Caenorhabditis elegans: one gene and its partner. The protein of the gene in region 1 interacts with the protein of each later gene in a pairwise test. Each region holds a gene or a part of one and is shown on either strand. Other genes may lie near its edges. The genes, in order: pgph-3 and ldp-1.

Region 1 (3,843 bases):
TTGGTCCAACTGAACAGTTTTTGGGCCACAAATTAGACAAAAATGTGGAGCGAAATGCCGAGGCTCTAAGATAACAAATAAGCATAGAGAATTTTTATTTTGAAATTATCTGAAAAAAATCCTCGAAAAATTGGCATGTTTTAAGAAATTTCTTTTTGAAAACTCAATTCAAAGTTCCGTATTAATCTTGTCATCTACCCATAACTTTTTCAGGAAAATAAAAGTTTAATGAAAAATGCATTCAACAATAGACTACTAAATCTCTAAAACGTTTCAGAACTTTCATTCCAAAAATCACTGCGACCACTCCTAAGCGGTTCACTTTCAAACATGTTTTCAGTTTCCTCCTATTACAAATTATATTAATAGTGATAAGAAGTACTACAAATGTATTTTACAGACTGTACTATCACGGGAATACTTTGCCCACTCGTCACTGTTCGATTTTCAAAAGTTGTTTTGTTTGTGTGGAAAAGTAGTACGAATTGATTACACTGATAACACAAAAGAGCCCACCTGCAAGAGATCTTTGAACAAAAACGTAAAGCTGCGAGGTGTCGATGAACGCATTGAATGCAATGATTGGAATGATCTGAAGATTGTTGATTTTATTATTAAAGCAAGAAAACAAATTGATCTACTTAATATTTATTACAATAAGAAAACAAAGTTACAAGGAAAAAAATCATGAAAGGAAGTAGAACAATGAGAATGCATGAGAAAAAGATCGATTAAAATTGCATGTTTTGAAAACAAGAACTTTGTACCGCATTACACTTTCCGTACTAATTGCACTTAACATATTCTATAACCAATTTAATTTTTCGCAGTTATGTGGATCAATAATTTTAGATATTCAACTTTTCCAAATTTTGTACATATTGTGCATTTGTTCATTTATCCACAAAAATAGCAATAAAAATCAATAAGCTTTTGCGATTCCCATTACACACAAATATGTGACGCAGAGATCAGACGAACATTGAGCAACTGTTCATCCAAAAGAGCACAACTCACATGATAGGCTTAAAAAGATTGAGTACATTTAACATTGTATAAAAAGATGGAAAAGTTGGGTACAAAGTTCTGCAAATGAATTCAAAAATGGAATAGAAAAACAATTGAAAAAGTACACGATAATATTTATTTAATTCTATTAATTTTGAGTGTCTCGAACTCAAATTGGGAATATTATAAATTTTATGAAATGAGAAGCTCAGAGTTGACACAAGCTGTTGACAGTTCGTTTCTAGGTTTAATGAGATCATGTGCTAAAAATTGTCTGAAAAATAGTTTGCTTAAAATAGATTGCTCTGAAAATATACATTTAGATTCCAGGAACAATTTCCTCTCAATGCCATCAAACCACCAAAACTGCAAAGTGTTCCACGTGTACTCTGCATAATTGAAAAGCCTTTATTGAACTTTCCTAGTTGAAATTTGACCCCATTCATTCAGTGAACTTTGATGTTCTTATCCAATTTCCTTGCTCAACTATAAACGTTTTATTTAATTTATAGTTAGTTTGTATTTTGCTTTCACGATCTTCCAATCTTGTTTCAAAAAACCACAAACAAGTATTACACTTAATTCACAACGAACACTTGGGGGACACCCTCTTTTTTGTTCAATGTTCACGTGAACATCTTTAAAGTGTTCTTCACTATCTATTTTTAGTGTTTTCACACGAAGAGACCCAGAGAAAATCTGTTCCTCTAATTTCTCTGCACTCTCTCGCTATCAGAAACTTTATTGGTGAATGACGTCTCAATGTCCTTTCGGTTTCGTTTTCTGCTCTGATCGCCAGACTCCGCCCACCAGATGCTATCACAACAGATTCACGGGTATAAAAGGTATCGAGAGTGGATCGAAAAGTATCACTTGCTGGTTTATATTTGCAAACTGAAATTACATTTGAAAACTCAAAATGAAGCTGAAGATCAGTTCCCCACTTCCAACCCCAGTCGAATCTGATTCTGAAAATGAAAATCCAAAAATGTTCCTAGAATCTCGTATTCATTCTGGACTTGATCCAAACTGCAGATCTACTCTTCCACTTGACCCGAAATCGTTTTCCAAGGTCATGAAGACAATTGACACATTCATCTTCGACGCTGATGGTTAGTTTTCTAGAATATCTAGAACAAATCTTAATTACAAATTCTTTCAGGTGTACTTTGGCTCGGTGAATCAGTGATGCCAGGATCTCCTCGTCTGATCGATTATCTTGTGAAACACAACAAACAAATCATTGTGCTCACCAATAATGCCACCAAATCTCGTGCAGTTTATGCAAAGAAGCTTGCAAAACTGGGATACAACTCTTCAAAAATGAACAAGAACAATTTGGTGAATCCAGCTGCAGTTGTTGCTGATACTTTGCACAGAGCTGGATTAGATGGAAAACGAGTTTATTTGATAGGAGAACAAGGACTTCGTGATGAAATGGATGAATTAGGCATTGAATATTTTGGACATGGACCAGAAAAGAAACAAGATGAAGCCGACGGATCTGGTGCATTCATGTATGATATTAAATTGGAAGAAAATGTTGGAGCAGTCGTTGTTGGATACGAAAAACATTTCGATTATGTCAAAATGATGAAGGCTTCAAATTATTTAAGAGAAGAAGGTGTTCTGTTTGTTGCAACAAATGAAGATGAAACATGTCCAGGACCAAATCCAGAAGTTGTTATTCCTGATGCTGGACCAATTGTTGCAGCAATCAAATGTGCATCTGGAAGAGATCCATTGACTGTTGGAAAACCATGTACTCCAGCATTTAATTATATTAAAAGAAAATGGAATATCAATCCATCAAGAACAATGATGATTGGAGACAGGTAAATCTAATTTCTATTCAACTTTTAAATTTAATTTTTGAATTATTTCAGAACCAACACAGATGTCAAATTCGGAAGAGATCACGGAATGAAGACTTTGTTAGTTTTATCTGGATGTCATCAAATTGAAGATATCATTGAAAATCAAATGAACGAAAGAGATGATATGGTTCCTGATTATGTTGCACCTTACCTTGGAGCTCTTGTTCCGGAGTCGAATCAAATTTATTATTAGTTACATTCATTCATGATAACTATTACGAGTATTTGTATTTTCGACATGACATTTTCAATTTTTATTTGTATTGAATTGTAAACATGAATAAAATTAAAAATAAGTATTGAGATTGATAGGTTAGGCTAAAACCGACTACCGTATATTCTCTATTAGTGCGGCATCTCTAATAGTGCGGCATCTCTATTAGTGCGGCACCCCTACTGCCCTTTCGAAAACCCCTTCTTTTTGGTTGCAAAAGCCACCTCAAATATTCGATTACTCCAATGGTATCCTTGTTCATTCTTCAATAATTTCTCATAAACTTTCACTTAAACATTGCATTTCAGTGTCTTTGGGGGCAAAGTGCACAATTTTCATTAATTTTCACATAAAATATGAGGTTTTATGAGGGAATTTTTAGTTTACTACTCTCGAAAGTAGTAACCTCAAAATGAAAATTAGTTATCGAAAATTAGTACGGCAGTCTCCAGTAGTCCGGCAGTCTCTAATAGTGCGCAAGTTACAATGGGCCCGGAAATTAGTGCGGCATGCCGCACTAATAGAGAATTTGAATGCAGAATCAGTATCGACTTTTTCTGCTTGAACTCAGCGGATATGAAACTTTTTTGAATTTTGTTTTCAAATTCTGAAAGAACATGAAATTGACAACATAATGGCTGCAGGGATTTTTGTAATAGTTAGTTTGAAGCCAGATATAAATTTTTCTAAATTGGAAAATCTACTAATTTTGCATTTAGATGGTCAACTTTTGATCTACCTTGT
Region 2 (4,940 bases), 3.6 Mb from region 1:
AAATTGCCGGAATTGAAAATTTTCGGCAAACCTTCAAATTGCCGGAATTGAAAAATTCCGGCAAACCGGCAAACTGACGGAATTGAACATTTGCGGCAAATCGAGAAATTGGCAGAATTGCCGGAATTAAAAATTTCCGGCAAACCTTCAAATTGCCGGAATTGAAAAATTCCGGCAAACCGGCAAACTGAAGGAATTGAACATTTGCGGAAAGCCTTCAAATTGCCGGAATTGAAAATTTCCTGCAAATCGGCAAACCTAAATTTGAACCTACACTACTCTTAAAGGCGCAAACCTTTTTTATTTTTCAAAAATTTGTCGTGTCGAGACCGGGTACCGTATTTACGACCCAAAAATCACAATATTTCGCGCCTAAATAATATAATATCGTAACTCCATGAAATCTACCATATCCTTTAAAGGTGCATACCTATTTTTAAATGTTCTGAGCGTATTATACGTTCGCAAAAAATCCTTAAAATTAGTCAAACACCGATTTTTGAGCTCTAAATGACGTGTGTTGTTTGTTAACACTTGTTCGCGCGGGGGGACAAAACATTTACTACATGAAGAATAAATAAAAAACTTCACATGTTAACATTTTGATTCCACAAATAATAAGTGTTTTTCGATTCAAAAGTTCAAAGTGACGTGGATTAAACAGCATGCGTTTATAATAATAATAATAATGTAAAACCAGCAATTTTCGATTTGACACCTGGAATTTCTAAAACAACCCTAAAACAGAATATAAACAAGACAAGCATTAAATTAAAGATCATATTCAGATTCCAATTGATAAGTGATTCCGAATGATGCCAAATAATCGTAGATCTTGGAGTTTCCGAAAGCAGCAGCTGTGGTGTAGACGCCTCCACTGGAAAAATTAAGGAAATTATTTTTGAAAAAACAATTTTCAAAAAAATAATATTTTAAATTTCCCGCCAAACTCACTCCTTTGGCAAGTTGTCCTTATCTCTGATCAGGGTTAATGCGGCGGAAAGAACACAACCACTAGTGGCAATATATCCAGCATCTGGTCCCTTGCAAGTAGCCAACACTTTTCTATTGATTTTTCCCTCGTGTTGCTGATCCAGTGGAAGTGTTTCCTTGTATCCATATCCGAAGAACCAGTAGACGAACGAAGCTTCGGCCATTTGCCGGGCACTTGGTCCCGAATTCTTGAACATGTAGAAACTGCATTGATCAGGGTATTGTTGGAGGATTCGGCGGGTGAACGGGTATTTGACGAAGATCGAGAGGAACATGATCCAGAGTCCGATGAGATATCCGTAGAATTGGGATGAGAGGCGGATGTAGGTTTCCATGTGGATTGGACGGACTTGGCGGGATGTTGCGTCGTAGTATTGTGAGCGGTTGATGATGGATTTGTCGGCTCCTGGGAATGGAACAGCGACACCGTTGAGCTCCTTTTCTGAAAAAAAAAAATTTAATCAGGAACAATAAAAAGTAGATTTGGATCAGGGGAGGGCGGCAAAATTCGGCAATTTGCCGGTTTGCCGATTTGCCGGAAATTTTAATTTTCGCCAATTTGCCGGAAGTTTTCAATTCCGGTGATTTGCCGATTTGCTGGAAATTTTTTATTCCGGCAATTTGCCTATTTATCAGAAATTTTCAATTCCGGCAATTTGCCGGTTTCCCAATTTGCCGCAAATTTTCAATTCCGGCAATATGCCTATTTATCGGAAATTTTCAATTCCGGAAATTATTGCCGATTTTCCGGAAATTTTCAATTCCGGCAATTTGAAGGTTTGCCGGAAATTTTCAATTCCAGCAATTTGCCGGTTTCCCGATTTGCCGGAAATTTTCAATTCCGGCAATTTGCCTATTTATCGGAAATTTTCAACTGCGGCAATTCGCTGGAAGCTTTAATTCCGGCAATTTGCCGATTTGCTGGAAATTTTAAATTCCGGCGATTTGCAGATTTGCCAGAAATTTCAATTTCAGAAAATGAAAAAAAAAACATTCATTTTAGCTGAAAAATTGAGAAAATGCTCAAAAATGGCTTTTTCGACTATTTTGTGCACTTTCCCAATTGTTTCAGCTCGAAAAAATTTTATTTTCAGACAAATCGAGCCATTTTTTATACTTTGACACTAATTTTCATTAAATGTCATTAAAAATTAATGTCAAAGTATAGGAAATCGCTCGATTTGTCTGAAAATAGCATTTATTCCAGCTGAAACACTTGGGAACGGGCGCAAAAATGATCTGAAATATTGTTTTTAGCAAATTTCAGGTCATTTTCGGGCATTTTCTCGAATTTTTCAGTTCCATTGCTCCTTTCCTCCACGAACCCTTAATCTCCCAGAGAGTCGGTCTCTTCGGAAGCTTCACAGCTCCTCTGACAATCTTTTCCGGCATAATCTCTTTTCTGACAGCTCCAAGCTTATCAGTGGCTGCTCCAGACAGTCCAAGAATCAAAGTTTGATAGGTTCCAGCATTGAACGAGTATCCGGATGGTCCAGTGAGCAGTTGAACGAATGATTCCACGTGGTTCAGGTCTCCATGGAAGTTTTTCTTCAAGAAATTGACTCCCAAATCAGCTGGAATCGAGTCCCATCCACACGCGGACACCACGTAGACTCCTTGCTCTTTGGCTTGTTTCGAATATTTCTGTTGCATCTTCTCAATCCACGCTGGCTCTCCAGAGATATCCACGTGGCTTGCTCCGTTTTCGACGGCCGCTTTCACGACGGCTTCTCCGTACAGGCGGTACTGAAAATTTGAAGGTTTCAGGGAATTTAAATCTTTAATTTCTTACAGGTCCAACTGCATTGATAACGACATTTGCCTGCCTCGCCATCTCGTTCAAAGAACGCTCATCTGCAGAATCGGCGACGATAACGGCGGCGTTGCTCACATCTTTTCCTGGAAAAAAGCTCGAAATGTTATTTTACGGTTAAAATTCCTACCAGTTTTTTGGCTGATATTTCTGAGAACCTCTCTGAGCTTCTTCTCGCTTCTTCCGGCGACAGCAAACGAAAGCCCCTCGAATTGTTCAGAATTTACCAAATATTCGACAACATAGGCTCCAGTGAAGCCAGACGCTCCGTAGACAACAACGTCGTAGCGGCTCATACTGGAATTTGGATTTTTTTTAAGTTTTAGAGAACTTTACAAGAAAATTGAAGAGAAAAAGCGGCGAAATGGAGTAAAACGATGTTGCAGGGCGTTTTTATCGAGTTTCAGCGAGTAAAAATATGTGTTATCAGGTTGAACACCTCATTTCGTGTGGTGGTGCGATTCCATGTGAATTTCATGGGTGAACTGTGGTCGGACAATGATCAGAAATAATGAAAAAAACTGCAAAAAACTGATTTTTTAGAGGAAAATTGGTGAATTTTACGAAGAAAACCGCTTGTTCACGTGAAGTACACGGCCGGGAGGACTAGCATTGCAGCCACAATTTCTAGGCCATTCACAGGAGTTTTAGCGGGAAACTCTAAAATTCAAATAAAAACTCGATTTATAGAACAATTTTACAAGAATAGAAACACATTTCGAATGAAATATAAAGAAGAAACAAACACCATTCGAAAATGCCGAATGACCCGATGAAATAACCTTGAAATCGCCCAAAACAACGTGTTTACAACTTTGAAGGCATCTCAATGTCGAACTTGATTCCGAAATCAAGCAAAAAATCGATAAGTCTAGTGTTCTCGAATGCATACGCTGTTGTGTAGACTCCGCCGCTGAAATGCAGAGTAAATAAGGGGAAATTCGCGGCAAAAACCATCGAAAATTGGCTACGATCTAGCGTGTTGCACTTTGTATTGCAGGTCTAGAAAAAAAGAAACAAGTAAGATGGGAAAATGTGAGAGAGAGAGACAGAGGTCAAAAACAGGAGACAATGGATCAAAACAGTTGTTCGACCTTTTATTGCCCAGATCTCTCTGCGTCTCTTTGCCGCATGCTCTCTCGCTGCCGCTGCGAGACCAATTTTTGACGTCTACGTAATAACAACACAGTGATTTTTGAAACAAAAAATGAAGAGAACAAATTTGACCTACCTTTTGGGCAACTTTTCCTTCTCTTTCAGAAATACCAATACCGAGGACAAAACACATCCACTTGTCGCAATATAGCCAACATCTGGACCTGTGCATGTTACGAGAAGCTTCTTCTTGGGTTCCCGGTCACGTGGATCTCCTCTACCGTAACCATAACCGTAGAATTGATAGGTGAATGTTGCTTCTTTCATCTGCTCTTCACTGGGCCCTGATTTCTGAAAAAAGAAGCAACATTTTAAATTAATGGCCTAGTTTTTCTAAAACTCATGGCCTAGTTACTTTGTAAAGTTGATGGCCTATTTTCTCATTTTCGTGCACTAGTTTTTTTTTAATTCCTGACCAAGTTGTTCTCGAATTCATGGTCTAGTTGTTTCGCATGCATGGCCTAGTGTTATTACAAATTCATGGCCTTTTTTAATTCATGACCTAGATTTTTTTGAATTCATGGCCTACTTTGTTCTAAATTTATGGCTTAGTTTTCTAATTAGTGGCCAGGTTTTTGAAATTCATGACCCATTTTTTTAATAAAATTCACGGCCTAGTCTTTCTAAAACTCATGGCCTAATTTTTTCAAATGCATCACCTAGTTTTTCCAACTTCATGGCCTATTTTTTTCTGAAATTCACGGCCTAGTTTTTATAAACTCATGGTCTAGTTTTTTTTCATGCATGGCCTAGTTTTAATACAAGTTCATGGCTAGTTTTACTGAAATACACGACCTACTTATTTCTAATGTATAGCCTAGTTTATTTTTTAATTCATGGCCTAGCTTTTTTCTTGAATTCCTGACCTAATTTATTTCAAATTCATAGCCTAGTTTTTTCCAATGTTTTCAATGGCCTAGTTTTCTTTCTTTTCCAATTTTCAGAACTGCTTCAGTTTTCAAAAAATATCGTTGCACAA

The links.
Region 2: the proteins of pgph-3 (region 1) and ldp-1 interact in a two-hybrid assay, tested with the Caenorhabditis elegans proteins (one large-scale study listed by BioGRID).

Annotation. Positions count from the first base shown.
Region 1 is NC_003283.11:5,761,878-5,765,720, reverse strand, and holds pgph-3 (Phosphoglycolate phosphatase), read left to right. Parts: upstream 1-1,874; 5' UTR 1,875-1,927; coding exon 1,928-2,120; intron 2,121-2,170; coding exon 2,171-2,843; intron 2,844-2,894; coding exon 2,895-3,078; 3' UTR 3,079-3,227; downstream 3,228-3,843.
Region 2 is NC_003283.11:2,125,698-2,130,637, reverse strand, and holds ldp-1 (Lipid droplet localized protein), read right to left. Parts: upstream 3,104-4,940; 5' UTR 3,103-3,103; coding exon 2,937-3,102; intron 2,893-2,936; coding exon 2,786-2,892; intron 2,740-2,785; coding exon 2,319-2,739; intron 1,436-2,318; coding exon 955-1,435; intron 878-954; coding exon 772-877; 3' UTR 538-771; downstream 1-537. Other genes in the region: F22F7.2 (Saccharopine dehydrogenase NADP binding domain-containing protein), read right to left, coding at 3,614-3,719, 4,038-4,252.